Coturnix japonica: one gene and its partner. The protein of the gene in region 1 interacts with the protein of each later gene in a pairwise test. Links are inferred from orthologs where the notes say so. Each region holds a gene or a part of one and is shown in the gene's direction. Other genes may lie near its edges.

What was found.
Region 2: the proteins of HOMER3 (region 1) and EAF1 interact in binary tests that used the Homo sapiens proteins (3 or more experiments, as listed by UniProt). The two-hybrid records come from large-scale screens. The link is inferred for Coturnix japonica from reciprocal best matches to the Homo sapiens genes HOMER3 and EAF1.

The regions. Positions count from the first base shown.
Region 1 is NC_029543.1:2,743,404-2,747,543, forward strand, and holds the start of HOMER3 (homer protein homolog 3), read left to right. Parts: upstream 1-1,337; 5' UTR 1,338-1,428; coding exon 1,429-1,460; intron 1,461-4,140. UniProt on the Homo sapiens protein: Postsynaptic density scaffolding protein. Binds and cross-links cytoplasmic regions of GRM1, GRM5, ITPR1, DNM3, RYR1, RYR2, SHANK1 and SHANK3.
Region 2 is NC_029517.1:38,120,214-38,124,397, reverse strand, and holds the start of EAF1 (ELL-associated factor 1), read left to right. Parts: upstream 1-1,248; 5' UTR 1,249-2,845; coding exon 2,846-3,119; intron 3,120-3,578; coding exon 3,579-3,673; intron 3,674-4,184. UniProt on the Homo sapiens protein: Acts as a transcriptional transactivator of ELL and ELL2 elongation activities.

The DNA.
Region 1 (4,140 bases):
CTTGAGTTTCATTTATTATTCATGGCAGCTGAGCTATTTTTAACGTAACTGCAAAAGAAATGGGTTTATATTGCATTGTTTTCCCCCATACCGTGAGCTCGAAAGTTTAGACTTAGCTTTTTACTTTGGTTATTAGAAAGGAGATGATTGCAAATCTCTGCAACTGCTTTAAACACGTACATAAGGGAAGCCTCTAGTGATACATATGATGTACAGAACCCAAAGTGTGTGGCTGGGTGGGTCTGGGCTGTGTACATAAAGTTCTCCAAGAGTTGGGAGTTAAGGGATTTTATTGAGCTGTGGTTACTTTGACACTACAGGAAAAATGGATCCTGTTTGTATTTCTGAGTGGGTACAAAGCTGATTGGAAACCTCTGCTCCGATTGTCCTGTAATGAAATAATGCTGTGTGGATGTGGCAGTGGATTTTGGCATGGAAATAGGAGCTTAGCCTGGTATTTAATTTATGCCCTATTTATAAATCTCAGTCATGTAAGTTGAAGGACCTGACACATTGTTGGGAGTTTCTTGTGTGTTAAACTCTTCGTGGCTGTTTGGAAGCACAGTGGATCTGTCTGATCAACCCCCTCCAACTGTGTGGGTTTGGCATTACAAGGCGAATAAGTGAGATTCTTAGAGGCTTGTTTTCCTCTTGTTGATATCCCTTATGGACTATCCAGATAAAATGATCGAGCAGGCAGACACACCTTCAAGACACAGAACAGGTAGAGGCGAGGAATCAAAAGTGACAGCAGTGTGAAGCAGGCGTAGACCCTTTGAAGTCGGTGAGTATGTGCTGATACAGGTTAAAGCAGAAAGTGTCCTTGTTTTCCTCTGACTTTCCATCTGTGATGCACAAAGTTACCGTAAAGCTTCCAGAAGTGCCAGGAAGGGCGTAGCAGGCAGATGACTTGTGACAGCTCAGTGTGTTTCCCAGGGGCAGGGGATGAACCCTTCTTGGAACAGCCACAATTAACATCCATTGTGATTTCAGACCCCCAGCTCTGAATCTCTGAGCTGATGTCAGCATCTCAGTCTGCTTAGATCACTCTGTGTAACTACACTAGCAAAACTAAGCCAGAGATGACATTTCCACCCACAATTCCACTTGTCTCCTGAGTTAAAAGGTCTTTTTTGCTTGTATGTTGATCACATGGGGATATTAAGTAGCTTTCAGCAGCATTTAGATTCCTCTCGATACAGAAGGGATTAAAAGTGTCCCACCTTCAAATGATGTTTGGCACTTGGTTTTAGTTGATTTATTTTTGAAGCAGGGATTCTGGGCTTTGTTCCTCCATGTTAGATGTCTTTGGTAACATCACATTCTGCTTTTCACAGGCAAACTGCCCTTGGACTCGTGTATTAGCACACTAGCACTTCCTCTCTGAAGAGTAGAGTTGTAAATAACACTTGATTGCAAGGGAAGTGAATGCAGTTGGGTCCCAGCTGTGACCTCAGTAGGTATTTATATTTCTTTGTCTCTACTAACTGCATAAGCAGAGAAGCACGAGTGCATACAACTTATAATTCGATTAGTATAGAGTTTTCCCACTTATCAAAGAGTTCACCTGCTCTTGTGTGTAGTGCCGCTGCACTGTGAGCAGCAGATAGAGCTGGCCCTTGAGCTGGTTGTGCTTGTGGAGCTCTGACAAGTCCAGGTTGAAAATGGCAGCAGAGTTCAGAGAGCTGAGTGAGGGAAAGCAGGCATGTGTGCTGGATGTCAGCTGGGTCCTGTGGCTCCCAGTGAAGAAGCAGAGGCAGAATACATTTTGGAGTTGTATATGGACATGTATATGTCCACTTCTTTGGTTCTAGTTATTACTGAACATGTTTGGTTTTTTATTCTTCTGGAATGTAAGAAGAGTTGTGTAGTTTCAGTCTAGCTCTGCTGTTTTCTAACTGTAATTGCTCTGCAGGCTTCCAGCAATGGTCTGTGTGCGTCAAAAGAAAGAACTGTTGATGCTCAGTGGCAGAAGTAATGGTTGTCTCAGGAAAGTGAATGTGTAGGTTGTGTTACAGACACCCAGAGTGTTGCAGAGTGTTCAGCAATCAGAATGCTCTGTAGATAGAGACTGGTTTCTGAGAGAGGGAAAAAAATAAACAACAGCGGATTTGTATGTCTTTAAATGCCCTTGATCTCCGTTCTCTGTGCCTGACCTTGCCTGCTTGCTGCTGTTCCCAACAGGAGCATATTCAGCTGGGATTCCTTTGCTGCCCTTTATCTGCAGGCAGGCCAGGAGGCAGCTGCTTTTCATTCCTATGCTAAACCCTGCTGGTTAATCTCTTGGGAGTTGGGGGAGGCCACAGGGAAAGCAGCCCACAGCCAGCTTCCAGCTCCCACTGCCGGAGCTTCACTGCTCAGCCTTCCTTGTGTGGCTGCTGATAGAGAAGTCTGGCCTCTTCTGGTCCCACCTGGACTCCAGCAGCATCTAAGCATTTCACCCAAGGTGACATGATGCAGCACTGAATGAAAGCAAGACTGTAGCTCAAAGGGCCTGAAAACCTGCCTGGTGGTTGGAGCAAAGGGCTACGGGCCTTCCCAAACTTTTGCAGCAGGTCAGTGAATAATAATCATGTCCTGCAGGCCAGTACCCAAATCCTAGGCAGGCAGTGTCCATGCACACCCTGTGCACCCGTTTATGAGGAAGCAATAGCTTCCATAAGCTCTTGGAGGTAGTGAGACCCAGTCTCTGGCTTGGGAAAAGTTAGACTTCCAGAATAAAGGCAATGAGAAAGAAATGAGGTTTGATTCTGCAGTCCTGTTAGTCCACACTTCCTCAGAAAGCACTGACATGCAGTCATCAGCTATTCAGGCTGCTGAGGGAAGATAAAAGGAAACAAAGATAGACAGCAGTGGAGGAGGAAACTGGTTCTCACGTCCTCTCTATGCTCCAGTTCTGCCTTTTGAAATACCAGGCCCTGGCAGGCTGAAATGCATTCCCCCCCCCAGCCTGTCCCAGCCATCTCCTCCCTCAAATTACCCAGTACTGCACTGCATAGTGGGCTTTTTCACATGAGAGAGTGCTGGCTGCTGATCAGCAGCAGGCACAGCCCTGACGCAGCCAGCACGGCCTCCCAGCTGACTCAGCGTGGTGCTGGGCCAGGCGCCAGAGCTGAGCCACATATCTTTGGTGCTCACATGCTCTCACGTACCCCCTTCTGCTCTGCGCAAGCAGGACCCATCCAGGAAAGTAGTCCTTGGAGAGAAAGGACTTTAGGAAAGATTACATTGAGAACTGCAAAGTTTTCACCACAGCAGCTGGGAAATCCTTACCTAATGCTGTCCATGGACCTTTATCAGTTGACTTTTTTTCTGGGGACTCGCATGGCTGTGCACTGAGTCCAGCCACAGTGCAAAAATACGTCCCTAAGTCTCTGTGCTCTTAAAGGTATCCCGCTGCTATCACACCCCAGAGCCCCTCCCTACCCTTGTACCTGTGCAATGTTGTGCCCACAGTTCACAGAAACAAATGATTCTGCTGATAGGGTACTTTGTGGTTTCTCATATGGCATTTCTGATTTGGTTTTTAGATGAAGGGGAGCTGCAGACTGCTTGGATGCAGAGCGAGGTATTTAAAATGATCGCCCTCTCTGTGTCCAAATGCAGAGACTTCTTTCTCTGACAAGTAAATGAATGTCCCTGCAAAGAGAAGCTGCAGTGAAAGAGAGGGGGAGCAGCATGTGAACCTCTAGATGTGCCCTTGGCTGAACCCTATCCAAGAACACCAAGGCAAATGCAGTTAATGAGGACTGAGCTCAGCCTCACCAGCACGTCCCAGCTGCTGCTTTAAGTGCAGCATCTGTTTGGGGAATGGTGACTCTAAAAGCTTCCCTTTCCAAAGCAAACATAGCAAGATTTCTTTCTGGTCATGCAGCAAAGGGGACAGGTGGGCAGGAGGTAGTAAGTCATTTGGTTAACTAAATAGGCGTGTTTTAGGTGGGTAGACAGGATTGTGAGGCCAGAATTACTAATGGGGGGGAAAATAAAAGATTCTCAGTAGGAAAAATCCTCCAGATTGCACAGGAAAAATGGAGAAAAACAAGGACACAAAGCATGAGCCAAATGCAGCGGTGCAGTCAGAAACACCTCCCCACGCCCTGTGTAGAAGCTACTGAGCAAAGACGTTGCTGGGTGCCATAA
Region 2 (4,184 bases), on another chromosome or scaffold:
GCGCTGCCCGGCCCAAGCTACCCGCGGCGCCGGCTCCTGAGCCGCGTTGTCCCCGTGCCCCGCGCTGTCCTGCCCTCCCGAGGGCGGAGAGCGAGGGGGACCCTCCCCCGTGCCCGCTCCCCCTCCCCGGGGCCCGCAGCCCCGCTCGGTCCCGCTCCCCTGGCCGCTCGCTCCGCACCCGCCGCCGTGGGCCCCGGAGCGCTTTCCCGGCTGCACTCGGCGCCCGGAAGGGCGCGGGGCGGCAGCGCACACGGCGGGCGGAGGAGAGGAAGGGACCGGCCGGGACGGGACAGGGGGGGTGCGGGGCCATGAACGGCTCGGCGAACCCGCTGCTGGACAAGGAGGAGCACCCGCTGCAGCTGGGCGAGAGCTTCGAGCGGCGGCCCAAGGCCTCCTTCCATACCATCCGCTGTGAGCACCGCCCTCCCTTCTCCTCCCGCTTAGCCCAGCCGCGTCTTTCCTCCCCGCCCCGCTCCCTCCCGCGGACGAGCCCCCTGCCCTCAGCCCCTTCCCGCCGGGCGGCGCTGGGGCCGTGGGCCGCGCGGTGCCCGCCGCCCTCCCGGGGGTCCCTCCCCTCCATCGCCCCTCGCTCCCTGCGGCTGTGCCTCCCGCCGGCCCTTCCTTCTCCCTTCTCACTGCGCCCGTTTCCCCCGTGAGCATCCCCCTTTCCTCCTCCCCTCCCTCGGGGTCTCAGCGGGCAGTGGGCGAAGGCTCTGAAGTTTTCCGTGGAAGCACGGCTTGCCGCTTGTATTCCTTTATCCTTCTCCTTAATGGCAACGCGGGCCCAGCTCAAGGAGCCGCGGTTTGAATTTAAAGTTTGAATGGATGGAGGTGGTTGCCGTCATGATCCCACGACCCCTCCTCTAGCGATCTAGATGGGAAGTCACTTGATGGGGAAGCGCCGAGAAGTGGCTCAGGCTCACACAGTGTTGCCACACATGTGGTAACTCTGAAGAGTGAGAGAAATGTTGAGGAATGGTCTCTGGCATTAACAGAGTTTTAGAATGACTGGGGCAATCTGCCATTTTTCAAGTCACCAGAGATCATTCCTACTGTTCTTCTGTGGCATTGGATGTGTTTTGTTTCATGTTAAGGAGGTGGTTTGGGAGAGGAGCTCACTGCATTCCTCTGCTGGATTTCTGTGGGCAAGAAATTGCTATTTTGTCTCCTAATAATCCTCAAGGAACTGCTACTTCATCCTTACAACCTACTGCAGGGAACCTGCTTTAGCAGGGGGTTGGGCTTGGTCATCTCCAGAGGTCCCATCCGACCCCTATGATTCTATAAGCAGGCCCAGGGCTTAAAAATGAGGAGTTAATCAGCAAAAGTAAATGAGAATGATCCAGAAGTTGTATTTTGGTTGCTATTTGATTGGGTGGGGAACTGGTACAATTAATGCTAGAGATTTTTGTTATGTGATGCGTAGTCCTGGGTGTGCAGTCTCATGGCTGTGAGTGTGTCATTTGGTGAGGTCAAAGTGAGCTCTGAAGGAACAACTTGGAGCTGTTCCTCGAGATGATCAGTGCTTGAAGCAAAGCTATTTCCCCAAACAGAAGCCTCTGTCTGCTTATATGGTGTGTGGTTCCCCCCTCTGATCATACGTAGTTCACCAGATTGAAGAATGCCATAACATGCGTTTGATGTATTTAGCTGTTTACATATAACACTGGATGCTTCTAGCCAGCTCTGCTGCACCGGCAAATCCCCACTTATAAATCAAAGATTTAAAATAGCCCGACCATCAAAGGAATAAGGATGCTGTCTGATAGTGCACGAATTAAACCCAAGCCGTATCCGGATAGCAATGCAGTGTATTTCTAGAACGTAAAGTGCTTTCATAATCAAGTTCTCCAGGGGTTGCAAAGCCAAAGCACTTCAGGCTACAACCGAAAGAGTATGTTTTGATTTCAGAAGAGGTTTTAATGTGCTGTATTTTCAGTCAGTTACACTCAAGTGAGATCTCTTTTCTGGCAAAAACTTATCTCTTTCCTAATTGTTGATCTTGGGTGATCTGCCTGGGAACTGAGCATTATATCATTCCTGTAATCCTCTTCATGCAAACTGCAGTAAGAGGATTTTGCAGGCTGGATTTGTCTCTGCCTCCTTAAAATACTTTTATTGTTTTCTGGGATGCTTATGAAATCCTGTACTGAAGAACCAGGTTGGGAGACGCATCTATTTGACTTCTGGTGAAAGGATGGGGTTTTACACCTGAAGAGACATACGTGCTCTCCATCTATGGCAAAACTAGTCAAGCATGGGTGTCTAATGAGCTTTCAGAATGAAAGCAATTTGTTGTGTGCTTGCTTGGAATAAGTGTATTTTACTGTGCTGTGTTTTTTCATTTAGCGGCTGTGCCATTGAAGCTCTTGATCCCTCTTTGGCAAAGATGCCAGCTCATCTACAGCTGGTTCATTTTATTTAGCAAGCTTGCACATCAAGTAGGTGGGAAACAATAGCTAGAAATAGATTGTGCAGATGAGAGTGAAAGATGTGATTTGGTCTGGCAGTTAAGGGATGAGGATTAAGTCAAGTGTGCCTGATTCTGCTTGTTGTGCTGTCAAAGTGAAACTCAATTAGACGTTAACGTCCCCTTAATGAGAATTTATTACAAGCTGTTTTCTTTCCCCAGCAAACGTGCTTTTCAAAGTAGAATTAAAATTTGGGTTTTCTAAGGTATTAATGTCTTAACTAATGCAGTAATTAAAAGTCTTGGTTGTGACTGTAACTGCACCTCTACGTATCCAGAGATGCTGGAATTGGATGCCTGGTTGTGAGAAATACTTAGCTGTCTGATCTTATTTCATTCTGTCTAAATCCTCTGTCACAATGTTACGTGTTTTTTATGGCTCAGCAGCATGACAGAATCAGAGGGGGGAAATACTTTGAAGTTAAAATGTTCTTAGTTCAAATAAATATGCTAAACACAAATTCATTAGTGCAGCAGAAATTATTTAAAGCGGGGCTTTGCTTAGAGCTGCAGCAGTGTCTGACCTCAGTTATGCTCTCCATTCATCTACAGCAGCTTCAGCCTTGTGTGGAACCTGGTGAAAGAACATCAGCACCTTCTTTTTTCCCCATAGGTGGGAGCCAAGGTGTCTTCTCAAGGTGTTGCAGAGGCAAGATATCTGTTAGTAGTCAGAAATATCAGTGAGGCTCAGTGAGCTGGTCTCACCCAATTAGCCTTTGATGTAGATGGGAGTCCTCAGGTTTGGAGGTGGCAGGAGCCTGGGTTCTGGGTCTGGGACCTGATACTCCTATGGGATGCTTGGTACAATTTCACACCTGTGTGCAGCATCACACGTCAGGAGGAGCCTGCTTTTGGTCTTTCAGACACAGTCTGGTAATTTACTTCCACTTTAAAAGGTGAATTTTGCATCTATTATCATCAAGTGTCGGGCTGTGAGTATGAACAGGTTGTACTGTTGTACTGTTCCACCCCTGGTGCAAGCTACTGTGTATTTTAGTATTTCCTGTAGCAACAATGAATGTGCATTGCCTTTTTGCAAAGGAGAATTCTAAAGGCTCCAAGTTCTGAAGACTCCCAGAGATATAACCACAATTGTTTTCCTCCTTAGATGATTTTAAGCCGGCATCGATTGATACGTCCTGTGAAGGGGAGATCCAAGTGGGTAAAGGAGATGATGTAACAATCACTTTGCCGCATATTCCGGTAAGAATGCTATCTGTGCTATTGAATGTATTCAAGTTCTTTGCAATGTAATTCCACTCTGTCCTATATATTATTATTTTTTACTTCAGTCTTTTCTAGAAACAGGTGGGCTTAGTGTTTGAGCTGCTAGACTTGCAGCATGTTATGTGAGGAGAGGTCTGTACGATTGAGTCTGTGTTAAAGGTCTTATTTGTAGGGCTCCAGTTGGTTCTTTTTTTCCTTCCTTCTTAGTGTAACATGTATAAAAGGACAACTTCTTTTAGCTGAAGCTCTTTACCTGCTTTCCTTCCATTTTTACTGCTGCAAGGTAAGGGATAGAAGCAAAGAAACGGTGTGTTCAGTCAGGATGTGCTATTCAGAATCTGCAGCTAGGCCTGTAGGCTTGTTTATTTCCAACACACACAGATAGCACAGATGGTTCCCTGCCTTTAGCTTTATCAATGGGAGCAGGGGGGAGTTTTCTAGTGAGCAACAATGAAGTAGTTTCCCATCCACTTCCTCCTCAAACTGT